7 linked regions of the Oryzias latipes genome follow. The protein of the gene in region 2 purifies or fractionates together with the protein of the main gene of each other region. This does not show direct contact. Links are inferred from orthologs where the notes say so. Each region holds a gene or a part of one and is shown on either strand. Other genes may lie near its edges.

Region 1 (3,774 bases), on a different chromosome or scaffold from region 2:
TGCGGGTCCGGGTGGAGGAGGACCGAGAGTCGGAGGCGCTGGCACAGCAGGCCAGCAAAGCCTGATGGGAAACAGAATGTGTCCAACAGCTGCCTTTTTTTTTTTGCTTTATCATCTTCAGGGTTGAAGAGAACATTTGATTTTTTGTTTACTCATCAAAGTGCGATGCCTTCTGCTTTCTGTTTGTTAATAAAGTTGTTACAATTTGAATCAACGCCTGGCAGATTCAAAAGCTATTTTCCCATCAAAACTTAAACTTCCTGGAGAGGGAAAGCACTGATTAACATCATCATTTATGTCTTTAATACACTGAATGTGTTTTGTCAAATTGTGCTGTTTTCTTCCAAATAATCAGCAAATATATAATTATTAATTCTTACATTTTATTTTTTGTCAGGACAGCTTTCCATGAGCACATCACCATGGTAACTTGCTAACAACATCCTACTGAGGATGAATGAAGCTGTTTTTCTTTTTTCTTTAAAATTGCTTGTAAAAGTAAAAATCATAGTTTATCAAATTTATCATAGTTTCAAAATGTTCCCATAACCTCTTAAAGTTAAGGTAGCTCAGGTCATGTTAGTGAGGAAATATGAAGTAATGGATGCTAACATCCTCTTGAATGGCTGGCTGTTCTCTTTGGTAGATTTTGGGTTGAATCTCAGCCATTTGTTTTTTTAGTGAGTGCGAATTTATGAGATTTCCATTTTTCTGAGGGTCTAGCATGAATTCCTATAAACCTTTGCTTCATAAAAAACGTTTTTGATGTCTTTATTGATAGCAGGAAACGTGGATTGTATCTCCTTTCTATGCAAACAAAAGCAGCCGCCTCAAAGTTTTGTTTCTCTAAAGTTATTTTCAGCGGCTCTTTTCAGTGTCACTGTGATGATTTAAAGTTTGAAAAATGTTTTGGGAATTTTTCACAATCTTCCTTTGTAAAGGAAAAAGTAAAACAAACTGTCGCATTTTTTAAATGTATGTTTGATTTTATTTTTGCTTTTGATCATTACAGCTCAGATGTTCAACCAAAAAAAAATAAAACTAATCAGCTGTGCTTTTGCACAAATAAAAATCTATTAATACAATGAGTTTTTTAAGGTTTTCTATATATATATATATATATATATATATATATATATATATATATATATATATATATATATATATATATATATATATATATATAAAATATATCACACACTTCATGTGCATGTATTTTTATAGTTGTTTTGGTCATTTTCTAACTGCAAATAGTATTATTTGCCTTTGGCTGATCCCTTTTTAAACCAGATTACTCCTCCCAGCCGCACGAGGGCGCAGCACAGCAAAGGTCACAGGGTTTTACTTCCGGTCTCCCGGTCCACACGCGTTTCCTACGCGGTTTTGTGAATTGAAACACGACTTTGTTTCGTTAAAATACAGACACCATGAGCAAAGCGCATCCACCAGAGCTAAAGAAGTAAGTTTGCAAGTTTTTGAAAGATGATAGGCCTGATAGCTTCGGTCTTTTTCGCGAGATTGTAGTATGTTTCCATGTTAGCCACCGTTAGCCGGAACAGCTAGGAATTGAAGCTAAATCTAAATAATGTTTTTGTCTTTCAGATTCATGGACAAAAAGCTTTCCCGTGAGTTAAAACTCTCGTTTCATTATTTAATACATATTTCAAAATTACACTATATTTCTATTCATTCGCCGGCTTTTTCTTGTGAAATTAAATTCGCTTTTAGCTAAGCTAGCAGCCTTCATGTTCATCAGTTTGCTCTTTTTGTTTTCTTCAGTGAAGCTGAATGGAGGCAGACACGTCCAGGGCATCCTGCGAGGGTTCGACCCCTTCATGAACCTGGTGATGGACGACTGTCTGGAGATGGGCCCCGGGGGACAGCAGAACACCATCGGGATGGTGGTCAGTGTCCGAGCAGAACTGTGAAGCATGAGGGAATAGTTTAATTCAATGTTTTACCCCACCCGTAATAGCAGGACGAATAGGTTCAATTAAAGATCATACTCTTTATTTATTTTTATCTTTATTAGCAATTCCATCTTTTGACAATTTGAACCAATTTGAGTGCTGTCTACATAGATTTATAAAAACATGCACAACTGTTTTCCTAACAAACCAGACAATCCTATAAAGAAATATGAACCAATAAAATATGTTAGGGGTCTGCTAGTTAGTAACAAAAATGTAAATGTTCTAAAAATCATCTTTTTGATAAAGAAAATTTTCTACCTCACAAATACACTTTTTTTGTTTTAATTACTTTTTTTTTAACTCCTTTTAATTCACTACATTTTGAATAAAGAAATACGCAGAAAAGCAATTTTAAGCATATTTTTTTTAAATATATGTCCTCATCAGAAAAATGCCACAAGAACATGTCAAAGTAAATAAATTAAAGCAATCCCAGTTGGTCATTTAGTGGTTTTGATCATTTCCGGCAACTAATTTTTAATTTTTTCTACAAAAACAAATTTTGTTTCGAAGTTTATTCAAAATTCTTTAGTCAAAGAACCTATTCTATCCACTTTCTCTTGTAAATATAACATTATATTGATAAGACAGACTTCCTCGTTTGTTTTCCAGGCATCTGTATTCTAGTTGCTACTGGTTTTCTAGATCGGGAAGCTGCAGATTCTGCTTGATGAAATCCACCTGATCCACGTGACTAGCTGCAAATAAAGCAGGGTTACTGGAAAACATTTCCACATTTTTATGTGTAGCCAAAAGTTCATTACTACTTAAAATAAATACATCCAGACCAACAGGGGAGCCTCAATGCCTACTGAAAATCTCTCTTAAATATATTATACTGCCCCCCCCCCCCCCCCCCCCCCCCCCCAATACTCCAGCTTTTCCAAAGATGTCTAATTAGTTTATCTGAAACAAAACTGACCTGTCTTTACGGAAGAACAAATAACAATTGCCTGTTCCAGTGAATATCTGTGAAACCAAACGTTGGCAGGTTCGTGGTTTTTCCTGATGTGACAGCCTCAGGAAAGGGTTTAGTAGTTTTTCCCAAACTAGAACATTTCTCTTATTCAACACACAATTGTGTAAAAATAAATGTGTAAACGTGAAAAGATCTGATCTGTTTTCCTTTTGTCTTCCCGAAGGTCATCCGAGGAAACAGCATCATCATGTTGGAGGCTTTGGAGCGAGTATGAGCAGAGCACAGCGGCGCCTCCTGTTTTCTCATTCCATTGTAGTTCATTCACAATGAAAGTCTGTTGGTTTTGAGATGTTTGTTTGTTAATAAACTATTTTTCTTTTTATCCGTGCATTTGTTTGGTTTTACGAAATGTTACTGTATGTGTTCTTTCCTGTAGATGCAGCAAGAATTTAGTGTTTTTGTAATGGAGGATGAGCTGCTAAACAAAAAAAGAATATCTTAAATGTTAGGGTTAGTCTTATCTTAAGGAATTCGAAAGCTTTTTTTATAGCTTAGCTGTTAAAAAGCTATAATGGCTAAACAATGTTGGGAATGCTGGTGATGAAGACATAAATGCTGAACTATTTTAATAATTTGATAGACCTAAAGTCAGCTGAATATTTAAGATATGCGTAATTTCCATTCATGAGCTGGCAAACTTGTTATAAACTAGCAGGCAAGTATTTGTTCATAAAATATTAAAAAGTTGGATTCAGTTTGTTTATTCTTGAGCTCTATCAAGTTTAAAAGTTTCCACGTTGAAAGGAAAAAAATTTAAGGTATTTTAAAATTAAAAACATTAGCTGCTTGACACTAAAACAAAGGGTTACCAATTTTTCTAAA
Region 2 (3,500 bases):
AAATGAGCTCCTCCACACAACTTTTAGGTACGCAAGGCTCTTGTTCGGTTCTCGATTCTTCTAAAGAGTCCATGAGTTTCTCTAGTGTCACGGCAGATTCCCACGAGAGCACAGCTGAGAACGCAGCAAGCGGCAAAGATGAGACGCTGTTTGTACCTGTCGAAGAATATACCTGCCCCCTGTCGGGGGGGCCAAGCCACCACGCCGGAAGACGCAGACGAAGGCGCAACTCAGGCAAAATTGATCCTCCTGTCACCCATTCTACTCCCAGCGGTAAATTAGCACCAAATGACAAAAGTTGTGGTACAGGCGGAGCACAAAATTATTTTCACACACCAAAAATTGGTCCCAAAACTGGAGGGGGGTCACGTTCGTACCAGCAACCTCACAGTCAGGCAAAAGGACACCAAAAGAAGTTCCAGTATGGAAACTACAATAAATATTATGGTTATCGCAACCCGGGCAACAGTGAAGACCCGCGTGTTCGTGTATTGCGTCCGGAGTGGTTTGAAGGTAAAGATGTGCTGGACTTGGGGTGCAATTCAGGTCACTTAACACTCTACATTGCCAAAATGCTGCGGCCTGCACGCATATTGGGGCTCGATATAGATGGTGGGTTGATCCATGCAGCTCGTAAAAACATTAGGCATTATCTGTCTGAGCTGCAAACCCAGGAGGCCAGACAAGCTGCTAAACAGGAAGAAAGAAATGACAAGGATGTCAGCACGGGGACAGACGAGAAGCACAGGGACACCGAGCGCAGAGAGGAGCACTGCAAAGCAGAGAGAGGACAAAGAGGCACTGCGGAGGCTGAGAGTGACAATGGCTTCTGTCACACAGATGATGTAGGGACTCCAAGGCAAGATGACAAAACAGGAGAGACAGGACAAGGAGACTGTGAAAAGCAAAGCGCTGATCAGTCAGTGAGCTGCTCCTTTCCCGTGTCTCTACGGATCTCCAGAGGACCCATCGCTGCACCTCCTTTGACCGAAACACCCACCCCTCAGCCCGGGCAATTTCCTGCCAATGTCTCCTTTATCAAGGTACGTTGATGTTGGGCAATTCCATTTTAATCTTCGTAGTTTTCACGTGTTTCTAATGTCTTAGCTATGTCAAAAAATCACAGAAATGTATTATTCTGCTTCCAGACTTCAAAAGAGAATTTGCACATTCTTCTTGTCTACATGTCAGTGTATATAATGAGGATCTTTGTTTGTATGAATGTCCTCCATTGTCTTCATAGCTGTTGGAATCTTGGCTTTTTTTTTTTTTGTTCGTGTTAATCAACTAACAGGAGCATGCTAAGTCAATTAGCAAGTCAGCACATATGTGGCTAATCTAATCTAGTTGTTATGGAAACATTAGTAGTAAAAAATAACGACTCATCTATTTGTACGGACAGTATTTTAGTTTCCTTAGAAGACAGCAGAAGTCAATACTTAATGAATATTTAACAGCATAAAATGCTGCTTCCACCAAAGTGCTGAGACCAGAGACTGGAGAGTCGGGCCTTCTTGTTCTCACCTGAGATCATTGTGAGGCTGCAGAGTGCCACAGTCTCTGCCATCTTGGATGCAGTGTTTAAGCTGCTGCTCACATCAGTCTTTTAACTCCTTTTACTACAAGTCAGATGCTCATGCAAGTACTTGAACTGCTGTTTTGTGGTAATCCGAGAGAGCATTTTGCTCCACCGTTTAAAGAAAAAGAGCATGCAGAAATAACACAGACACTGCAGTAAAGGCATGCACCATTATAACTAGACAACTCAGTCCCTCCTGCAGTCAGTCTGAAGTTACGTTCACACCACCCTCGCCGAGGCGCGTTCAAGCTTCCAATGAAGAGTCTATGTCAGGGGTGTCAAACTCATTTTCACTGAGGGCCACATCAGCATGGCGGCTGTCCTCAAAGCACCAGATATAACTTATACATGTAACTAAATGTAATGAAAAATAAATGTAACTACTCCTTAATGTTAAATAACTCATTATTTATTTATTTATTTAAACTTTTTAAATTGACAATAACAGTTTCATAGAAAACATATGTTTGTTTGTTATTCTGGCATAAATCCTTTTAAATTTGATTCTGACAGGTTAGGTTATATGAACAGTGTTTAAGTCCTAATGTATAGTTGGTCAATCAGATATTTTAAGTCCAATTCCCCCTAGATATGAATAAATACACACCAATTTGTATTTTTTATTCTAAGAAATTAAAAACTTTTATGCTCTCGCGGGCCACATAAAATGATATGGCGGGCCACATTTGGCCCCCGGACCTTGAGTTTGACACATGTGGTCTTTGTAAACACGCGTAAACGCTTGTTTCAGGCTTCCGGGTTCAAAACTCTTGCAGTCTCACATAACTGCACAAGTTTCTACAACCACTTTAAGGCTTCATGTACATAAGGTGTGGTATGGAGAGAAATTAGACTCAGTCGGATTTTTGCGTGCGTAATTCTTGATTTGTGCATAAATTAGGATTTGTGTATGCATATTCTTGCTTTGTGCGTGCGTAAATTAGGATTTGTGCACAAATTTGGATTTGTGCGTGATTTGTTACTCACATAATACGTTTTGTGTATAAGTTAAAAAAATATAAAATGAAAAAAATACAAAATGCAATTTACGTATGCACAAATTAAGATTACAACAGCTTGAAACTACTTACACACACACATCTTTAAAAAACACGCACGAATCCCTTGTTACGCACACACGAAGCCAAAGTTACGCACGGATCTACCGTGAGACTGTTTTGACGTCTCACAAATCCGTCCGTAAGTGCTGCGTTTAAATACCAGTGGAATGCTCGGTCATTAGAATTTTCCTATCAGCCTTCCCTTCTAAACGTATCCAGACAATGACTCGATCAATACATGAAGACAGTAGATGTTAGTGTTGAACATAGAGGCTACTTACTTCGGGGCGCTGACCACCGAGATGGGCCGCCGTTCTTCCCGTGACTCTCTCAGTTTGACTGCCTTTGATTTTTCCGGAAGAAAATAAACAGTGCCCCCTACTGGTCGTTCCTGTTACGCATTTTGTATCAATTCGGAGTCTCGGAGAATAATATACTTTTAATATATATATTAGCCTTTAAAAGTGAACGTCATATTCTCAGGTAATAATTTTTATTTTCCTTTAAAGTTTTTTTAAGCCCTGCTACACCCACTGAAGGAAATACGTGAAGAAGGGAAGGCTGATAGGAAAATTCTAATGACCGAGCATTCCACTGGTATTTAAACGCAGCACTTACGGACGAATTTGTGAGACGTCAAAACAGTCTCACGGTAGATCCGTGCGTAACTTTGGCTTTGTGTGTGCGTAACAAGGGATTCGTGCGTGTTTTTTAAAGATGTGTTTGTGTGTAAGTAGTTCCGAGCTGTTGTAATCTTAATTTGTGCATACGTAAATTGCATTTTGTATTTTTTTCATTTTACATTTTTTTAACTTATACACAAAACGTATTATGTGAGTAACAAATCACGCACAAATCCA
Region 3 (3,967 bases), on a different chromosome or scaffold from region 2:
AAAAAAAAAAACAGCATTCAGGAAGCAGGGTGTACCAAGAATAAGGAAAAGTGGACACACCATTTATCAGCATTGGTTAGGAACCACTCACCTTGTGCTTTCAGAATGGCCGCTTTGCCTCTTCCTGCTCCAGAACCCTGGTTCTTGTTCTTCATACTCTTTAACATTGGAGCGTTCTTTAACATGTCTGGTAAGATCAGAAAGCGGATCTTGCTGCCACGAATGTACACTTGTTCCAGCTGGGCAACCCGCCCGTCACGATAGGTTACTGTGATGTTGGACATCTGTTGGGACATAGAAATAAATGGTTCCGGTCTTAGATTCGTAAAATGGCTTGATACACGTTTACAGTGTTCAATGGAATGCAGGTTAACATTTTAAGTTATCTGTTAAACTTGGCAATGCAGTTCTCTATTTGAAAACACATTTGTAGATACTTCATTTAATCCCTTAAAATAATTTCTAACAACCTTTTTGATTTGTCATTTGATTAATAAGAAATCTACAATTATTAACAGAATATACGTTTTAGAATATTTAGCGTTTTGTTAAAGCCTTCACACTTATCTTTAGAGTACTTTTAAGACACACTGAGCTTTATCCACCAAAATTTCTGCTTTTAAATGAAATAAACAGATTTGGAGTCTATTAAACTTTTACTGCACTAATGAAGCTTGAAAAGACTATCAGCATTGACAGGATGTTTGGGAAATATATTTAGTTACAGTACTCAATACTTTAAGAAAAATGGCTTTAAATATTTCAAGGACAAATGTGCATATATGACCAGATAACTATACAGATTTTTTTAGGGGGGGGGGGTGAATTGGGTCAGTTAATAGAAAGAACACAACTTAAATTTACAAAATAAAATAAAATTGTTATTCCAGATTTGTTTGTTACAGATGTGCAACCAAAACTAGAGACCCAAAAAAAACAACAAAAAAACAAAGGTCATAAAGGCAACCTGTCCCAAAACTTTAAAATAATCCAACATAATTTCCTTTTTCCACACAGGGCCGTTTGGTTTCTTAGTGCTGTGTTTCTATTTACTTCCAACGGTAATGATAAATCATTTATGGTTTTTGTTTTTCCCTACAGGTCACTGACCTGATGCATATTAGTAAAAGGGAGTATGTTTTGTTGACTGTAAAAGCACCATTGATCTCATTGAGTAATTAAGTCACTACATCAATCAATCATACGTTACACACGTGTGGTTGGCTGAGATTTTGAGGGACAAAGAAACCGGGAGAGATTTTTCTTCGAAGAGGAGTAACCGATTTGTCTTTCGCTACAAACATGTTGAACAACTGTTTTTTAAAAAAAAAAAAGAAAGAAAGAAAGTATAACATGAGTTTGTCTCACCGCAATTGTTTTACTAAAATACTACATTCTCAACAAACCTACTCAAATAGTTCTACATCACCTGCTTGTTATAATTGGTAGATTCTAGACTTATTCCTGTGAAAGCAAAAAAAACAAATGTGCAAGTCTAAATAAGAGTTGGTGCAATAAACTGCATTAAAATACCTTTGGCATTTTTGTTTCCAAAAAGTATGTGAAATAAAAGGGGGGGGGGGCAGCCAACAATAAAATGTCCATTAAAAAAACATTCTTGTGTTCTTTACACATTTAAAATGTTCTTCTCAAGTGTGGTACAGTGAGTTGAACTCTAAATAGAAATTTACGGCATGCTTTTTTTTTTTGGGGGGGGGACGTTACTCCATACAAACCTGGCAGTTCATGTTGTCTTCAGCCTCGATCAGTTTGCCCCTGTAAACCTCTCCAGTGTTGGTTTCACAGGTCACAATGTGTCCCTCTGCTTCATGCAGGACCTTGATTGGTACGCCAATGGACATTTTGGAAACGGTCTTTCTAGGCTATTAAATTAAAAAAAAAGACAAAACATACGGTAAAGGGCACTGAAACATACAGTATTATCACAAAACCTGACGTACGGTATTGTCTTTGTTTACAGAAGGCTACTGAAAGTCTACAACATGCAATTCATTCATCCAATTTTATGATTATTATGTTTGCATGTGTCTGGCTTGGAAGTAATATTTACTGTTAGAACATACTTAAGACTTGTTTTGTGCTGTAAATAAGGTAATTTACACCCACAAAAAAAAACGTACAAAAAAGGCACTTAAGTATAACAATGTTTCCATTATCATTAGCTAAGCTACCTCGTTAGTGATTTATTTCTTGTACTGTTTATCAAGACGGTATTATTTCTACGTAGAGAAATCAAGTGCTGCAGAAAACTCTTCAGTTTTGGATTACACAGTTTAATCAGGTAAATGTTCGGGATTACTTTTAAAACGTAGTAACGCTAATGGCTAGCTTAGCTAGCCACGTTAGCTAACTAGCCACCAACTACTGGCCTCAAGCGAAACAAAACATTAATTAAAAACTGTGGGAAGTAAACCACCACAATATATTTAACGTTAATGCTTCACACCCAACATTGTTGGGACTCAAACGTGCAAATTATTTTAGACACAAGCTAAATATCAGGCATGGATGGAGCGATGGACATATTCGAAACTTAGCAAATGGGAGGCAATGTAGACAAAAAGCGATAATTCTGAATCACATTCACAGCTAAATACCAACCACAATATAATACTTGCTAGCTTTAGTAGCTAGGGTTTAAAGTCTTACTTCAACTCCCTTTGAATTCTTGAATTGTTGTTCTTTTTAGCGGCTCAGCAACGTGGGCTAGTCGTTGAGCTTGGCGTTTGAGCCTTTTTTCCGCTTACCCACAATGCACCAACAAAGCGTTTGTTTCCTGTGGCGCTTTTCGCCGTGCATTATGGGACATGTAGTTGATTCTGATTACCTAAACCAGGTGTGTTAGGTCAAACAGAATGTAGACTCACTTGAGTCAGCCAGTTACCAGAAAGATGGTTAAGGAGAAACAACAACAACAATAATAATAATAAGTGTTATTATTTTTTGTACTATTATTATTCTTTTTTAGTAGTATTGGAAGTAGTAGTAATAGTAAATAAAAACTAATTTTCATCAAAAGGCCTCAGAGAGGTCCAGGAATACCAATCATTATAGGACATTGGACTTTCAAACAAAAATAGAAATCATGAAACGTTAACAGATTAAAAATGTACACAATAAAAAATGACTTGTTTATTTGTCCTGAATTAGATTAACATGAATTTAATTTGATGATTACTCATTGGAAAAAATCAACTATAATGGAACACTGGATAGATATTTGTAAAAATATTTTATTGATTCCTTGCAGTGGTGCATGTTTTTTTTCCATAATCCTCCTCACTATGTTTTTTCTCTTTTCCTTATTTGTTTTATGTGAAAGATTTGAATCCCGAACACGTGTATAGCTGGCACATATGCTTGTCAAAACATCCCAGCAAGAAGAGATTATGAAAATGAAACGACTCAATCAATTCAAATGGATTTTTTTCATCGACCACAGAGAGCTATAAACATTTACTCTACATAGTTTTTGAATGAACAGACTTTACGTATCATATACATACCCTTGCGTGTTTATTTATGTGGACTAGTCTTTTTTACCACTTCAGTGAGACGCATAAACATTGCTTAATGCGGGGCTTTCTCACGCTGGAAGAGGTTTCTAATGAGGAAAGACAAAGCATAATGGGATAATAAAAGACATCACCAAATGAACCATCATTTGATTTCCATTGCAACAGGGTCATTGACTGGCGTCAGCAGACAGGCTACTCTGTAAACACCTGTACCTGTGCAGCGTGTGGTCATGTGTATCTACTTTACGTGTCCATGAGGGTTTCAGGCGTTTAATGCATGCTAACCTGACTCTGAACGTAGTTCCAGTCCAGCCATGAGCAGTGACATTTGCAGAGATCAAACAAGCACTTGTTTTGGGTGGATGCTAACAGGCCTGTTTACACTGATGCCTTTGAATCATGTCACTTAGATGTTGATCTGGGTTGTC
Region 4 (4,095 bases), on a different chromosome or scaffold from region 2:
TTTCATCCATCCATCCATCCATCCATCCATCCAACATTTCATCCATCCATCTATCCATCCATCCATCTATCCATCCATCCATCCATCTATCCATCCATCCATCCATCCATCCATCCATCCATCCATCCATCCATCCATCCATCCATCCATCCATCCATCCATCCATCCATCCATCCATCCATCCATCCATCCATCCATCCATCCATCCATCCATCCATCCATCCATCCATCCATCCATCCATCCATCCATCCATCCATCTATCTATCTATCTATCTATCTATCTATCTATCTATCTATCTATCTATCTATCTATCTATCTATCTATCTATCTATCTATCTATCTATCTATCTATCTATCTATCTATCTATCTATCTATCTATCTATCTATCTATCCATCATTCCGTCCATCCAACCATCCATCCATCATTTCATCCATCCATCCATCCATCCATCATTCCATCTTATTCTGCCCAGGTTGCGGTCAGTCAGCACCAAGGCCTTCCCAGCGCAGCTGAGAGACATCGTTTCTCCACCGTGTCCTGTTCTTCCCTGGGCCCACCGCCCAGTGGGACATGCCCAGAACGCCTCACCAGGGAGGGGCTCTGGAGGCATCCAGACCAGATGGCTGAGCCGCCTCATCTGGCTCTGCTTGATCTAGGGGAGACGTGGATCTACTCCGAGCTCTCTCCAGGTGATCAAGCTTCTCACCCTATCTCTACAAGACCGCCCAGCCACCCGATGGAGGAAGCTCATGTATTCAGGACCTCGTTCCTTCAGTCATCCCCCAGAGCTCATGACCACAGGTGAGTTTTGGAACAAATATTGATCAGTAGATTGAGAAAGTCAGAAAGTGAAGCTCCAATGGTCCACCTCCAGCACATGTCCATGTTTGTTAAATCATGCCAGAGGCTGATCCAGAGGAGCACTAGGAGAACAAAAATGCTGAGTTTTATCCCCAAGAACACCATACTAACTGTGAGGCATGGTGGTGGAAACGTTATGCTTTGGGGCTGGTTTTCTGCGAAGTGGACAAGAAGACTTATTAAGGAAAGATAGATTTGAGTGAAAACCTCCTTCAATCAGTTGCACTGTGAATGAAACGGGGCTGTATCTTTATGGAGTAATATTTATACCACCACACTGCAAAAAAGAGAAGAAAAAGTATCCAAAAAATCCAACACAGAATCTGTGAAGGAAATGCAAAAACCCATATTGCCTAGTAACACATTGGTTTTGGCGACATCTGTCGGTTACCAGAGGAACAGCGCCCTCTGTGACGTATGTTCCTGTGACGCGCAGAAATTTTAAACTCTCGTCCTTCTTAGTAATGGCGGCTTCGTTTCGTTCTCTCCCTGCAAGCAATAATAATAAATGGTACTTCACCAGGCAGGAGATCGACAACAACCCCTCTCGGCGAGCTGGACTAGACCCCGACAAGGAGCTGTCGTACAGGCAACAGGCAGCGAACCTGATCCAGGACATGGGACAGCGGCTCAATGTGTATCTTTTGTCGTGCTGCGTCGCACGTAGCTAGCATTAGCATGCTAGCCAGCAAAGTGTAACCTGCTCGGCCAAGAGCGTGGCCGGTATTTCTTGTGTTGTTCGACGGGTTCTTGTTTATTTGTTAGTATCGTGTGTTGTTGACTAAATGGCGGTTGTTTTCCGTCGCTGTTTCTACGTTAACATCTCCCTGCGGCGTCTCAGGCTAGCCGGGTCCACCAAGGCCTGTAGCTCGACAGGCCTGTCCGGGACGTTAGCTTCACTAGCCGCAAATGACTAGGAAGAAGTTTTCTGAACAGATGAATATATTCTGCTAAAAAATAAACAGCACAGTTATAGTATAAATTGAAATTGAATCAACTTTTTAGGAAAATTGTTTATTTGTAGGCTTGAAAAGCCTCTTCAGAGGCTGTGAGTGAGGGATTGAGGTTATACTACTGTACTGCAACCTGGCTTTCGTTGTTTGTGGTGTGGTGGTAAAAATCATGATGGGCTATTTTTATTATCCTCATCATGGACGCTTCATATGTTCTGGGGGGCCTCACGGTGAAATTTAAAGGAGGCCCTCCAACCAAAGGGTATCCTAAGTTATGGAAAGCTCATAAAACACGTGAATGTTGCTAAAGAATTCCCAGATTTAACTGTATTTCTTAGTTTTTTTGTTTATATGAATGTAACTAAGCTAAACGTTTTATTTTCAAATTAAGAGGCATGCTCAGACTGCGATCCAGAAGAGCTCTGAATAGGACACACAAAGCTCCCAAGAGCTAGTAATCTACTGTAATCTGCACCACCTACTTGTTTATTTCTTTAACCGCCACGACTGGCTAATTAGATGCACACCATTTAAGAAGAAAGGGAGGGGCTTTTATATCCTAAGCATGTTTGAATTCCACACCACTTCCACGGAAAGTGGCTTGGGAGAATCTGTCAAAGGTTGGAGATGGGGGGCCAGTGGGCACCAAATCATTTTACCGAGACATTTGATTGGTCAGTTTATAAATTGTGATTAAGAAAAAAAGACCAGGAAATAAATTTGCAAGAACCTGTAAAAAAATATATATAGCAGAGCAAGAACTGTTATTCTGAGTGACAAGCAGTGTGACTGAGTAATAGCCATCTATTTCTCTATAAAAGTCTATGGGAATTTTGGCTTCTTGGAGCCAGGGGGTACTTCCTGTTTGGAACATAAGGGAGGAGGGGTCAGTATGTCTAGTTTGTATTTACAGTTAATGTCTGCAACGTGTGCTATGCAGCCTATTCCAATTAAAAAAAGTCCGTGTAAATCTCGGACTTGGTAGTTGGGTATGGATGGCGTCACTTTTGATTCACGGTTGTACCGTCCATTTGATGATTTTAAAAGAGAAATTATCAGAGTTTGTGCCCAGCCAGAATTCTATGAACCAAGTCTTTCATGTCGGAATAGAGCTGTGAAAGAAAAAGCCTGGAGCAAGTTTTGTGAGGTTTTCCCCACTTGGACATTTCGCACCAAACTTCTAGTAGGTGGCAGACATGTGCTAACAAATGGTAATAAAGAGAGAGAAGAAGCCCCTCCCTACTTGGGCAGTGCGAAGACCATATGCTGCGATTACACTCAAGAATGTCCATCGCGTGTCCGGTGTGTCCGCAGCTTTAAGGATACACGTTCTGTCTGTGTCACTTTAGCAAAATTCTCTCCGGTGGCGTTTTAGGATTGCACAGTTTTTCCAATGGTCCTTAACTGGCGTGACAGCTCCCAACTTACCATTAACACAGCCATCGTGTACATGCATCGCTTCTACATGATCCAGTCCTTCACCCGATTTCACCGAAATGTAAGTGTTTTCATGTCCAAAACCATTTTGTTTTAAAGATTTATTTACCGGTGGAAATAAAAGTCACAACTTATCACCTCCTCCTCAGGTGATTTCTCCTGCCGCACTTTTCCTCGCTGCAAAGGTTGAAGAGCAGCCCAGGAAGCTGGAACATGTCATTAAAGTGGCCCATGCGTGTCTCAATCCTCAGGAGCCGTCGCCCGATGTGCGCAGCGATGTAAGTGTCTCACGGCGGTGAGATGAGTACTCGTCTGTCCTGCATTTCAAAAAAAACTGCAAAAGCGCTGCTTGGCTTGTAAATCTGAACTGCTCTCCTGTGTACTGCATTTCATTGAGCTGTCTTCTCAGTTCTTGTGTCTTAATTGTGTGCATCACTTAATCCCAGTTTTTCTTTTCTAGAAAGAACAATGTTTGCCATGGTTCTGTGATAAGAGGAGGGGCGGGGGGAGTTTCTTAACTCTTTGGTTTCTTTTTCATGTTAACTTTAAACAACCACTTGACCGACTTGTTGACGTTTTTTTTTTTTGAGACGCTGCTCCCTATGGGTTGAGAGAGCAAGGGTCAAAATGCGTCTGATTGTGTAGGTTTCAGTCACCCAGGTGATGTGATGTCTATCGGTTGTAAAACAGGAGTGTCTGCGCTCGCTTTGTGGACTTTTACATGAATGGACGAACATTTCTAGGACCACAGAGTGAGCTGCTCAGACACTCTTGTTTGACAACAGTTTGCAGGCGTCTGGGAGAGTAACATGCCTGTCCTCTCAACCTCAGGCTTACCTG
Region 5 (4,204 bases), on a different chromosome or scaffold from region 2:
CCAGCTGTCAGACATCATACAGAAAAGTCAAAACCTCAAACCTTCTCTTCATTTTTCTACCAAATTAAAGATTTGTTAGATTTTACGTTCATTCTGTGGCGCCCTCTGCTGGATTAAACAGTAAACTACTCATAACGTTTAGTTTAAAGATCAGCTCTGATCATCTTAAGATCTAGTGTCAAAGCCTTCCCAGTGGTTCTAATTATGATTACCCAGTTTGTTGTTGTGGCGAAACTGTTGGTACAGAGCAACCCCGCCCCCCTTTCCCTCGGAGCAGGGAGCTTGTTGCCCGCCCACCATATTTTCAACGTCACAAATACGATCTTAATCAAAAGGCATTTTGTCTTCTGCTCCTGATTCATTCTTCATACGTGTTCTCCATCATGAGAAAGATGCCACAAGAATATTAAAAAAAAAAAAGATCTTATGGATTTCTTTGCTGTTTCCCAAATAACCAAATGCAAATTTTCTGTTCTTTTCTACAAATGTTAAAAGATTAACCTTTAATTCCAGCACCCAAGTTTTCATCTAAATACTTATATTTTTCTGTCATTTTTTAACTAATATTTAACCTGAGAAAATTCACTCGACAAAGAATCTACTTTGGAATTTCAGGAAATTAAACATTTTAAAAACAAGTCCAGATATAAGACTTTTTTCTGAAGAGCTTAGAAAAGCGTAAGAAAAGATGTTACTGTTATGGTGGCGTGTCACAGTTTGGTAAAAACCCATTCCATCTGAGGATTTCTGCAACAATCATGTACTTTTCCTGCCGTTTATCACTTTTTTTCTACAAACTAAACAAGTAAAATGTTTATGGTAATTTCCTCTGAGTAAAACACAACAAATGTATTTCTTTTAAAATCTCATAATAAAAGATGACAAAGTTAAACAACAACCTTCATCTAAACAACAAGAGTTTCTTAGCAAAGGTCAAATTTCATGAAATCTAAATATACAAAGAATTATGTAAAATATGGAGAAGCAACACCGGTTTGGTGTGAGAGCTTTAAGGGTCTGAAATCTCAATTTTTTAAACAGATTTCTTTTATTCTACATGTGCTGCTATCTAAACAATAGAACAAAATGGTTTGATATGTTTTGGTAAGAAAAGTTGTTCCAGATTTAGAAATGCTAGCCAACTTTCATGCAGTATCAGGCCGCTGCAGCGACTGACTTACAGACTTAATTGCTCAGTGAAGGACAAAAAAGCTAAATTTGGAACATTTTTAGTTGTGATTACTACGGATAACCCTGATCAAAAAATGAGCATCACAGATAAATACTTAAAAAAAATAAGTGTTTAGAGTTGTTTTGACTTATTTACTGTTTAAATAACAATGTGAGACAACATTTATGATTTGGTTTGAATGACTTCATTGGTTCAGAGAAATGTTTTGTTATTTGTGCCCAGAATAATCTTATTGTGAAAAACCAGAAGTGTTTTCATTTAGAAACTGTATTGAGTTTGTTTTTGACTCTTGGATGAAGCGGAAAGTTCCTGATCAATAATTGCTGAACAGGATCGTTTAGCAAACTCAAAAAAGCCTCCGTCATCTTTGCAGAGGCTGTCACTATGCGACAGGAGCCATTTGACCTTTTTTTAAACGACTTTTTTTTATTAAAATGTTATATGATAGGATAGTTAGAATTTTTGAAAAAAATTGTAAACTGGTACAAGAAAAGCTGCTAATTGGTTTTCCACCAACAGTCGTCTAAGTTAATGCTCAGAATAGAAGACTGAAAACACTGTTGGTCATTTAGAAACATGTATAATAATAACAAACTGAGTACGATAAAAACACTCTTGACTAATTTAAAATAGATTGAATAAATAATTGCATTTACTTTTGAGTAGTTTGCCTCTGTGTTGCAGCTGCATTTTAAAATCCCAGAATAAACCCTGATATAGTTGTGAATGAAGCTAGAGTTGCTTTTACCTGCATGTTCATGTATCCGTCCACAGACACCAGGTAGCCTTTGTACTCCATTCCCCACTTCAGCTTCACCATCACTGGTTTCCCTGTCAGGCCGTTCAGGAAAGGCTTTGGGTTGAGGGGCAAACTCTGCGGCAGAGGGGATTGAAACCTTACATCAAGTCTGCAAACATGACGCTTTTCCCTATGAGATATTTAGAACTTTAAGTATGCGGGTTATTCATGTTATGGACAGTCTCCACGTCTGATTTCTTTACACCACCAATCATCAACAGGAGCGACTGAAGAACCAATCTGGACTGCATTAAAAAAATAAATTGAATAATTGGGAAACAGTACATAAATTCGGTTTTGGAGCAGTTTAATTATTCAAATGACCTATATACTTCTATTAATCTGTTGTATAATGTTCGACCACACTACTACCTGCAGAGGAACGTCATAGTTTTGTGTTGTTCCGACGGACGTTCATTTTCTGATACGGCAACACGTTACCCAAAACAAACAACACTTTAGTAAAAGCTCACTTGAATATCTAACCGTTTCATTTTTAAAGTTTTGTTTTTAGTGTAAGTTTGTTTTCCCCTACGAGCTGTGTAAACCAGTTATGAATGGGATGCTAACATGGCTAGCATAAACGAGCTAACTCTCTTAAATTCTTTGTTTTAACAAACTTCAATAAACCCAAAGGCCGTGTGAAATTACATATTTGAAGAGTTACTCACCATTTTGCTCGATTAAGTTTAGACCCGATTAACAGTAAATTAGAAGTTTATTATGTCTTCGTCACAAAAACGTTTTAGCTTCACAAACTAGAAGCACGCTTTGCCGCCGACAGGAAACGGAAGTGGCATCGAGCTTTTCGCCGCGCCTCACGTCGCCCCCTGGCGTTCTGGATGTATTAGTGCAACAAAAAGACTCGGACTATATTCTGATCACATTCCAGTGCATCTGCTTTATAAAGTCATAATAAAATAATCATAAATAAAATCAGTTTACAAAATGACACAACATCATTCACACAATTAGTAAACAACAAAAAATAAACAAACTATGAAAAAAAACATAAATAAACTATTTTATAACAATGAGACAAGACCAAATGTCAAAAAATAAATAAATAAGTGAAATTAAAAATGATTTATAATCAGATAATATAAAACCCAATGGAATTATAGAATTGTTGTCATCAGCTCCAGGCTGCTGACAACATGTGCTGACGAACTCTCACATTCTGCTGTTTATTTGAAAGGCTTGCATTACCGAGCTTTAATGTAAGAAAATGATTTTAGTTTTGTAAATGTTTCATTTGAGCCTGGAGCTGGAGAAGATGCCAAAACTGTGGATGACATCTCACCATACAGGCACTCACACTCTGTATCAACGCCAGGTAGATTTCACGTTTGCTACAGAGGAATCATGGTGCGAGGCGGTTACCAAGGAGGCAATGGCTAAGTAAGTAAGCTGAGAAGTGTTTATGACATATAGATTGTTGGGAAAACAGTGCGAGAATCAATGTGTGAGTTGGTGGGTCTCATCTTCAGAAGATAGATAGATAGATAGATAGATAGATAGATAGATAGATAGATAGATAGATAGATAGATAGATAGATAGATAGATAGATAGATAGATAGATAGATAGATAGATAGATAGATAGATAGATAGATAGATAGATAGATAGATAGATAGATAGATAGATAGATAGATAGATAGATAGATAGATAGATAGATAGATAGATAGATAGATAGATAGATAGATAGATAGATAGATAGATAGATAGATAGATAGATAGATAGATAGATAGATAGGGTTGGTTTCCCTTTTGGCTTTTCCCATCAGGGGTCGCCACAGCGAACGAGTCGCATGGTAAACTTGGCAATGTTTTACGCCGGATGCCCTTCCTGACGCAACCTTCTCAAAGCAACCGGGCTTGGGACCGGCACAGAAGTAGAGAAGGGAACAGGGAGCAGCCCGGAGTCGAACCCTGGTTTCACGGACGGAAGGCGCCGCAAACCAGCACGAGCTAAACCAGCTCCCTATATATCTATATATATATATATATAAAATTTAAAAAAACGCCCCTCTCACCCTCCGTGGGTGCTTTCTCCTCCAAGCTCGGGTCCTCTACCAGAGGCCCGGGAGCTTGAGGGTCCTGCGCAGTATCTTAGCTGTTCCTAGCACTGCGCTTTTCTGTACTGAGAGGTCTGAGGTCTTTCCAGGTATCTGTTGTAACCACTCCTCCAGCTTGGGGGTTACTGCCCCAA
Region 6 (4,009 bases), on a different chromosome or scaffold from region 2:
GTGGGTTCAGAAACCTGTCAAAGGTTTCTTTCTAGATCTCTACAAAGTCTGGCCAAATGCAGCCCTCCTGAAAGCCTCTTCTAGCCTGCTGGTACCTTTTATAAAAATAAATGTGCTCCCAGGAAACTGTGTATGATTTCTTGATTATGATTGCCTACTTTATAAACCATTTTAAACCTATGGCAACACTATGATGTGACCCTTTTGCAATACCTTTTAGCTCATTTCTAAAATGTCGACTGTAAATTTAACAAATGTTGACAATTGGGGGTCGCTGCTTTCAGGACAAGTAGAAATTTGTGTATTTTTTTCAGTAAGATACTAAACATGCAAGAGGCTGGATGTTTTCAAGAAATTCAATATCAAGAGGGACTACAAGACAAGACATCCCAACTATGCCAAGCTAACTAGGAAAGAATGGTGCATGGTTTTCACATGTGAAATTCACTGTCATTTTGTTAAAGATTTATTAAGCTCTTCTTTTGTTCTATGTGTAGAAAATACAATTAATATGCAATAAGCATTTCCCTTAAACAGTTCATGTGCATTTAATGTTATAAGGGTTCAAAGAATGCAGGTTGAATGGTTGGTCCTCACAAATGTTCACCTCACAAAATCTAATTCTCTTTGCAAAAAGTCAAATCTAAAAATTTGCAGATTGGATCTTTTGTATTTTGGTTATCAAGTTTGGTTTTTGATGTTTAATCATCACTATTTACAGGTAACAACCATTCATTTTAAAAGTAAAAATAAAAAAGCAATATTGTGGATGTTTTTTTAAATTTACAATATATTCTGATTCTTTTGTGGGAGTCAAACTTTTTGAAATTTTACATAAATTGTTAGCCTCCAGCAATATTTAAAAGTAGGCTAATATTTCCTAATAATGCCATAAAAATGTTGTTTAACTACGGTTTTAAAAGGGGTTTACGTGGATCAACACTAGCTTTATGCGTCTTTTTTTTTAGTTTTATGCATCTGACACATGATTACAATGGGGCGGTGAAAACTGACAGGTACGGTACCTTTAACCAACCGTTCGTGAAAACGCGTCGCTTCAACTAGACTGACAGTAGTCTAGCCAATCAGAGGACGCCTTTTTTCTGTGACGCATTCAGTCAATAATTCCAGCCAGTGAAAAGCTCGAATGGGCGGGGCCACAACCAAGAACATTCCCCAACACAACTACTGATTCTGCCCAGTTCGATCGGCAACGGGAGCGGAAAGAGGAAAGCTGAGAGCCCGAAGGCAGTAGCCCCCACCACCGCCGGCCCACGTTACCATCTAGCACCGGGAAAAATAGCAGAGAGCCGCCGCCGGCAGAAGCCATTACCAACCAGTAACTATGAGCAGCGAGGCCGAGACACAACAACAACCACCGCAGCCTGCTGCCGATGATGCGGAAAGCCCATCCAGCCCGGCAGCTGCAGCTTCCGCGGGGGATAAGAAGGTCATCGGTAAGACTGCCGACTCCACTTAGCTAACTAGATGCTAAACGTGGTTTATGTTGCTGTAAACGAGACAGAAACAGCCGTTGAATTATGTTAATGTAAAATGACCGTTACGATCAACTTTATTAAGTAGTTGGACGTTAAACCGTACGTCGAATTGTGATACCAACTGTCAATATAATTATACATTTTAAAAACTGTCAGTTGGGAACGGTTATTCATTAATAGCGTATCATTCTCATTAACTATGAGATGTCACAAGTTTAGGAAAAATCCACATCTTAGAAATGTAGTAAATAACCACTTAATCCATGATTTTCTGTCTTGGTGGGAAAACATTTGCGAAAAAGAGACGCATGCATCCAAACGGCCGTCACATGGATGATCGTAGGAGTAATTTATGTCAGATCCAGCATGTTTACTACCAGACGTTGCAGACCTTTATCTCTCACCGTTAACCGCCAAAAGTACGAACAAAACCCGAAAAAATGACGAATAAATGTTTTAAACTTGGAAATACCCTGCGTTAGTTCACACTAACAAGTTCACCGGCAACTGACGCTAGCTGCTTACTATCCCTTTGTTCGCACAAGTGTCGAATCCCTGTATTCTCTGTCAAAGCTTAAAGGTGGTTGTTTTCAAGTTTATTTTGTAACTATTAGATATATTCAATAATAAACGCTTTGGGATTTGTATTCAAACCGTCCTAAGCTTTAACTCGATTTTTTTTTTACATTTTCGGTGAGGCCTAATTATTTCACGATAGCTTTCCAGTTGCTAACGATGCTAATGTTAGCCTAGCCAGCTAGCTGGCTGGCTATTTACATGGCTGAAAAGGCCACCCAAAATGTCCGCCGTTACACGATCCGTTTATACGTTACAGTTCTATTCTAGCTCGGTTTAGGTACTAAAAGCGCTTGCTTAAGTAGTTTCGAAGTAACATCTGTAAGATGTTGATGGGTTTATTACGTTGGTTTCCGCTTTTTGGCTATACTCCAACCACATGGTTGTAACTCTTAGCTACACGGCTAAGCTAAGAAGCCAACTCGGCTTGTTTTTCGGTCTGTCCGTGTGCGACCCTACCACGTGTGAACGCTCACGTCGTGAACTGGGCGTCTTAAAATGGGGCAGTAGGTCTTTAATGTCCGAGTTCTCTAAATGCAGTTGCTAAACGCGAGGTTACTTGTTTTGAAGTTTGACGTGTCGTAAGCTCTGTTCCCCGTGTTATCCGCATTCCTTCCACACATTTGCAGTCAATGTAATTGGACTGTTTTCTACCATGGCCGGAGCTTCACACCGGGAGCAGCTGGCGCCAGGCTCTCCTAAGCATCAGCATCTATAATAAGCACGACAGTTGGAAGTTATTTTTAACGTCCACACTATGGCTAGTTTTTTCCTGCACATATCTTATTATGTGCGATGCTTTGACTGTTCCCAATCTATTATCATATTTTCAAAATTTCATTACTGCTATTCTAAAATTACCTTTGCAGCTTAGAGAAGTAATATTGACACTTGATAACTGAGTTGCTCTGTTTTTCATTGCAGCAACAAAAGTCTTGGGTACAGTCAAGTGGTTCAACGTCAGGAATGGATATGGTTTCATCAATAGGTAAATGACCACCTCCAGCGTTCCCAATCCTATTATGATTATTGCTTTGCTAACGTGGCTGACCTGATTATTTTTTCTAGTGGTCTGCATGCACACTGTAACCTGCAAGACTTCATTAATCCTTGCACTTGTTGGCTTAGTTGCAATCTGTCTTCAGAGGTGTGTTGTCTTAGTAAGTCATGTGTGGTATAACTGAATCTTTTTATTTTTTTCTCTTTTTGTTCAGGAATGACACAAAAGAGGATGTTTTTGTACACCAGGTGACCTATTATTTTCCAAACCTTTTGGAAACTTAAAACATTTTTTTTTTATTTCGACTAATTCACTTTTCAATTGTTGATGATTTCAGACAGCCATAAAGAAGAACAACCCAAGGAAGTATCTTCGCAGTGTTGGGGACGGAGAGACTGTGGAGTTTGATGTAGTTGAGGGAGAGAAGGTAATGTTTTGGGAAGAATTTGGTTATGTTTGCAGGCATGTTGTCAATTTTAAACTTATCTGTTAACAGGGTGCAGAGGCAGCAAATGTCACTGGCCCTGGAGGGGTGGCTGTCCAGGGAAGCAAATACGCTGCTGACAGGAACCGCTACAGGCGTTACCCACGCAGAAGGGGGCCCCCTCGTGGAGGAGAATACCCAGAGAACTACCCAAGTGATGGAGAAGGCGAGCCTGGCAACGGAGTGCGTGACAAAGGAAACAGAGACGGGGGAGAAAGCGCCCCTGAGGGAGAATCGCAGCCACAGCAGCGCAGACCCACTTACCCCAGCAGACGACGCTACCCACCATACTTTGTACGTAGACATTATGGTCGTGGACCCCCGTACACCAATGCACCACGCGGAGAAATGACTGTGGTACGCGGTCACCAGGCTGCTATCCAGAAGTAGGCAACCAGTTGTACCATGACAGTCGAGACACTTGCTCTTCTCCCAACATGCTCCTTGGTA
Region 7 (4,102 bases), on a different chromosome or scaffold from region 2:
ACTACTTTTTTTCCCATCTCAACACAATTTGACAACACAGAAATCAACTTGTGATTCACAGTTTTTAATTCAGCAATCAAAATAAAATGTTGAAACATCCAACCTACATTTAAGACACCAAAAACGACTGTTTTGTGACATTTATATATGTTTAATATAAAAGCATTACTAATCTCATGGGTTTCAGCAAAACAAGTGAAGGCAGATTACATGTATTGGCGTTTGGGTAACCTGTGTGAATGTGTTTGAACTGTTAAATTAAGAGTATAGCATTAAAAATAAAAATAAAAGACAAAAAAAAAACATTTTGGTGACTAAAAATTCTAAACCTTGTGATTAGAATGAAAGTCAGTTTGCTTACTAATCTTTTTTTTTTTTTTTTTTTTTTCTAACTTGTTCTGTCCAACTTCTGAGCAAACAGATTAGAGCTGAAGGCTTTTTGTGTTGGACAGGTTTTACTATCACAAAAAGAGGTTATATAGCTTCAAGAAACTAGAGTGTAGATTTGTATAAACCCCTTTTTGTCGTATTATTTTTTATTTATTTGTTACATTTAGTGTGTGTGGGGAGGGAGAGGGGAAGAATGTGAGGGGAGGGTGGAAGAGAGTAAAAGGAAGAAAGGTGAAAAGGTGGGGGATACAAGCACTGATTTGACTAAGTTATTAATTTAAGCTGTAACAATTATACCAGATCTGCTGGAAAGACGAATGTTACATCAAAGGTCAAAATCTGACACTAAGATGAGCGGAAAAAAAACTGTCCATCAATACACTGTAGGTAAGGAGGAGGGATGAAGCAGACAGGGAGCAGTGTGGCAGTGTGCACGTGCACGTGGGGGTGGAGATACATGCATGCTGCCGACGTGAACCGTGTGTTCATAAAGGGAGCCAGATCCTACCCAGCCAGACCAGCCAGACCAGGAGAGGGGAGGAGAGCCCCCCAGGCCAGAAGCCCCCCCAGCATCCGGACCCAGGCAGCCCGGGAGGGGAGGAGGAGGGGACCGCCCACCCCACCAGCCAGGCACAGAGAGGGCCCCCCTACAGGGGCCCCCCCAATGCCCAGAGGCACAAGCGAACCCAGTGTCCGGCCCCCAGGCCACAAGACAGGAGCGCTTAGCCGTACCAGGCGGCAGCCATGGGGGCCACCGGGCGCCGGACACCGAGACAAAGGCCAGGGACGAAGCCAGGGCCCCGGAACCCATGAGCCGGCCACCACCCGACCAGCGCCCCGTCCCCGCAAGCCAGCCCAGGCACGCGACCCTAGCAACCCAGGGATCGCCACGCACCCGCAGCCACAGCCACCCCCCTAAAACCCGACGCACTACAACCCCCCCCCCGCCATAATATCTGACCCCCCCTCCCCAACCCTCTCAGTGCCCTCCCCTCTCTGTGATTGGGAGGGAAAGCCCCAGAGGGTCCCAGCGAGCCAGCCCCCAGGTCGGTCCTACCCATGCACTCACACACACATACTCACAATCATCTGGTTACCCTCCCTACCCCCGCCGCCAAGCAGTAACCCCCCCCCCCCCCCCCCCCCCCCAGCCGGCCAACCCCCAGCGCCGCATGCCCGACCCCTCCCGCAGCCGACAGGACACCCATAAGCCTGGCCGCCCTGAGAGGACCAGGCGGGTGAAGACCGGCCGCCCCCCCCCCCCGACCCCACCCATGTATGGAGGTGTGGGAGTGCTGTGTGTGTGCTGCAGGTAAAATAGGAGGTCACCAGTGTGGGGGGCTCCACCGCTGCCAAGCCGCAAAGCCCCCCACTCCGGAGTCCCTCTGTGAGTGGTGTGTATTTGCTGTGTGTGTGCTGCTAGCATGCAGTGTGTGTGTCTACAGAGGAAGTTAAAATTGTGGGGGGGCCAGCGAAAGGTGAGCACGGATGTTTCACCGTGCCCCCCTCCACCAGACCCTCTCCACAAGGCCCTAGATGAATCAGAGTGTCTAATATGCAAGTAAAAAGCGGGGAGGAGGGCGGGTGCCAACGAGAACCCAGAGAGGGGCATCCCCAGTGAGCCCCGCCAGCATACCCCTCCCATCCAGATCCCGGGGCCCTATGTGCCTGTGTGCAATATTTGTTTGGGTGAGAGCGGGGAGGAGCGGGCGGATGGGCACAACCGGGGGAGAAGGCTCCCCCGAGCGACCGGCCCCCCAGCCGGCCGCGGTAGGCGCCCCCCCCCCTCCCAGAGCGGCCGGCAGCCAGAAACGCCAAGCGTTTCAGAGAGTAGAAACCTCAAATGTAAAGTTTCAGTCCTCGAGGGCAGGTGTCCTAGTCTGCCTGCTGTTGATTAGCAAAACACACCTGAGGTAACCAGAATCAGAAGAAGGCCGTTTAATGAACACAGCAGAATGCATGCCCTCGACGGCTGGAGCTACAGCTGTTGTTTTCCCCACACATTTTACACAAACTTTCCTTCCTGTATAAACTATTTAGCTGCCTGGTTAGCACTAAAGCAATGAACTGTGTTTCAAACCAAACATTTGCGTTCAATTGAAACACAGGAACACCAAGGCTAATAATTCGGCTAACTCGGTTAGCCGCTTCCACGGCCCCAAACAGGTCAAAAACGTTCCTGTAATAACCTTAAAGCACTTTAAAAATAATGCAGCGTGCAGCGCAGTCTGCACTTTTAGAAGCAAAGTGGGCTTCTGTTCGTTCGTTGTAAGGTTAAACATATAATTAGCGAAAGAACCGCTAACCTGCTCAGCTTCGTCCGCCATACTGTTCGAGCATGCGCGCGTCGATTCCGGTACGCAGGTTGCCAGGTCCGGTGAAATTAAGATTTCAAACGGCAACACACACGTGCGTTTCGAATTATCCCTCGATTTCCAGTTCAACAAAGTTGAATTTTATACAAATAATTAGTTTACAATATATATCTATGCGTACTTTGAGAATGTGAAATGTTTATTATTAAAACTTATGGTATCAACATCCATCCTTAAAAGACTAAATTTAAAGTATGTGTAAATCCATACATAGTCCTTACCTAAAATTTAAATACAACACAAACATCTCCTTGTTGCATCCCTGCCACTTTTAAATTGAAACAACTGAAAAGACTAAACTATAAAGAAAAGAAATTCACCTTTCTCTCGACGCGTTGCGTGTATGTTCAAACCTGGCAACGTTATCCAGTACCGTCCTTTAGCGTTTTCCAGAGCTTTCTGTCCTCACAGGACACTGTCGTGTCATCCGCGCAGAGCAGCGAGAAGGTAAATTAATTCATAAATATCTGTTCATTTTGAGGTATTTGTCCTGTCTACACTAATATTCCAGAGCGTTTTGAGTGGTAGTAAAGCTGTTATTGGGAATTCAGTGTCTAACGGGTCTGTTTAGAAATATTCCGTATGCGAAATGTTAATGTAAACGAGAAATGAAATGTAAATAGTTACACATAATGAAGCTTTCCGTTAGTGAGAAAACCGTTAAAATTCTTTTAAGAGAGAATATATTCCTAAAATGTAATCTGCAGTTTATTCAAATATTTATTTTTAATGATTACACTAAATAATTAATCGATTTATTAATTGAAACTAACAGACCAAAAAAGGCTATTTTATGTTCATTGATTACTCTTTTCAAAGTCTTGCATTTAAAGATAAGAAATCGTTTTAATAACAGTCTAAAATTATAATAGGTGGACTTAAAAAGCAGAAAAACGAAATAAATTGCTTTTCAATTATTATTTTTTTTATTAAAAATAACAATTTCTTGTATACAGGATACCAACCAAGTGTTGGAAAATAAAAAGCAAAATGCTATTTAAGTAAAGATAAAATGATGCAGCGGTTGTGATTTATTGCGTCATTATTTTATTTTGGGGAAAAAACTATATTTATTGAACATCACTAGTTTAGACTGGTTAATGTAACTAAATGGGTTGCAGACGTTCTGTTTGTGATGTCATACACAGCCTCTGGTCCTGTGAGGCTGCTATTCTCCGCGTTGTGTTTGTAGGGTTACAGGTGTGCGCCTCCTCTCTTCTCAGGACGATCCAGTTCTTCATACTGGATTTGTCAGTGGGAGGGGAGGCAGATCAGAGCAGTGGTACTGCCCATTCCACCCTCAGCTACATCATGGCTTTGTGATGGAAGAGATCCTG

The links.
Region 1: the proteins of mepce (region 2) and snrpg purify together in Homo sapiens (affinity purification with mass spectrometry; 3 studies listed by BioGRID and IntAct, counting the BioPlex papers as one, with this or other methods). This does not show direct contact. The link is inferred for Oryzias latipes from reciprocal best matches to the Homo sapiens genes MEPCE and SNRPG.
Region 3: the proteins of mepce (region 2) and snrpd3 purify together in Homo sapiens (affinity purification with mass spectrometry; 3 studies listed by BioGRID and IntAct, with this or other methods). This does not show direct contact. The link is inferred for Oryzias latipes from reciprocal best matches to the Homo sapiens genes MEPCE and SNRPD3.
Region 4: the proteins of mepce (region 2) and ccnt1 purify together in Homo sapiens (affinity purification with mass spectrometry; 3 studies listed by BioGRID and IntAct, with this or other methods). This does not show direct contact. The link is inferred for Oryzias latipes from reciprocal best matches to the Homo sapiens genes MEPCE and CCNT1.
Region 5: the proteins of mepce (region 2) and snrpf purify together in Homo sapiens (affinity purification with mass spectrometry; 4 studies listed by BioGRID and IntAct, counting the BioPlex papers as one, with this or other methods). This does not show direct contact. The link is inferred for Oryzias latipes from reciprocal best matches to the Homo sapiens genes MEPCE and SNRPF.
Region 6: the proteins of mepce (region 2) and ybx1 purify together in Homo sapiens (affinity purification with mass spectrometry; 3 studies listed by BioGRID and IntAct, with this or other methods). This does not show direct contact. The link is inferred for Oryzias latipes from reciprocal best matches to the Homo sapiens genes MEPCE and YBX1.
Region 7: the proteins of mepce (region 2) and lsm3 purify together in Homo sapiens (affinity purification with mass spectrometry; 3 studies listed by BioGRID and IntAct, with this or other methods). This does not show direct contact. The link is inferred for Oryzias latipes from reciprocal best matches to the Homo sapiens genes MEPCE and LSM3.

What each region holds. Positions count from the first base shown.
Region 1 is NC_019865.2:4,866,768-4,870,541, reverse strand, and holds snrpg (small nuclear ribonucleoprotein G), read left to right. Parts: upstream 1-1,313; 5' UTR 1,314-1,427; coding exon 1,428-1,459; intron 1,460-1,602; coding exon 1,603-1,625; intron 1,626-1,779; coding exon 1,780-1,904; intron 1,905-3,115; coding exon 3,116-3,166; 3' UTR 3,167-3,274; downstream 3,275-3,774. Other genes in the region: zinc finger protein Xfin, read left to right, coding at 1-65. UniProt on the Homo sapiens protein: Plays a role in pre-mRNA splicing as a core component of the spliceosomal U1, U2, U4 and U5 small nuclear ribonucleoproteins (snRNPs), the building blocks of the spliceosome.
Region 2 is NC_019872.2:14,589,097-14,592,596, reverse strand, and holds part of mepce (7SK snRNA methylphosphate capping enzyme), read left to right. Parts: coding exon 1-1,043; intron 1,044-3,500. UniProt on the Homo sapiens protein: S-adenosyl-L-methionine-dependent methyltransferase that adds a methylphosphate cap at the 5'-end of 7SK snRNA (7SK RNA), leading to stabilize it.
Region 3 is NC_019870.2:16,128,909-16,132,875, forward strand, and holds the start of snrpd3 (small nuclear ribonucleoprotein Sm D3), read right to left. Parts: upstream 2,801-3,967; 5' UTR 2,671-2,800; intron 1,884-2,670; 5' UTR 1,863-1,883; coding exon 1,737-1,862; intron 285-1,736; coding exon 92-284; intron 1-91. UniProt on the Homo sapiens protein: Plays a role in pre-mRNA splicing as a core component of the spliceosomal U1, U2, U4 and U5 small nuclear ribonucleoproteins (snRNPs), the building blocks of the spliceosome.
Region 4 is NC_019865.2:25,916,051-25,920,145, forward strand, and holds the start of ccnt1 (cyclin-T1), read left to right. Parts: upstream 1-1,295; 5' UTR 1,296-1,329; coding exon 1,330-1,502; intron 1,503-3,234; coding exon 3,235-3,316; intron 3,317-3,404; coding exon 3,405-3,533; intron 3,534-4,086; coding exon 4,087-4,095. UniProt on the Homo sapiens protein: Regulatory subunit of the cyclin-dependent kinase pair (CDK9/cyclin-T1) complex, also called positive transcription elongation factor B (P-TEFb), which facilitates the transition from abortive to productive elongation by phosphorylating the CTD (C-terminal domain) of the large subunit of RNA polymerase II (RNA Pol II).
Region 5 is NC_019881.2:20,375,325-20,379,528, forward strand, and holds the start of snrpf (small nuclear ribonucleoprotein F), read right to left. Parts: upstream 2,801-4,204; 5' UTR 2,666-2,800; coding exon 2,663-2,665; intron 2,067-2,662; coding exon 1,941-2,066; intron 5-1,940; coding exon 1-4. UniProt on the Homo sapiens protein: Plays a role in pre-mRNA splicing as a core component of the spliceosomal U1, U2, U4 and U5 small nuclear ribonucleoproteins (snRNPs), the building blocks of the spliceosome.
Region 6 is NC_019865.2:7,798,494-7,802,502, forward strand, and holds the start of ybx1 (nuclease-sensitive element-binding protein 1), read left to right. Parts: upstream 1-1,209; 5' UTR 1,210-1,345; coding exon 1,346-1,457; intron 1,458-2,999; coding exon 3,000-3,063; intron 3,064-3,289; coding exon 3,290-3,323; intron 3,324-3,412; coding exon 3,413-3,502; intron 3,503-3,571; coding exon 3,572-3,853; intron 3,854-4,009. UniProt on the Homo sapiens protein: DNA- and RNA-binding protein involved in various processes, such as translational repression, RNA stabilization, mRNA splicing, DNA repair and transcription regulation.
Region 7 is NC_019863.2:18,333,618-18,337,719, reverse strand, and holds the start of lsm3 (U6 snRNA-associated Sm-like protein LSm3), read right to left. Parts: upstream 2,801-4,102; 5' UTR 2,718-2,800; coding exon 2,697-2,717; intron 1-2,696. UniProt on the Homo sapiens protein: Plays a role in pre-mRNA splicing as component of the U4/U6-U5 tri-snRNP complex that is involved in spliceosome assembly, and as component of the precatalytic spliceosome (spliceosome B complex).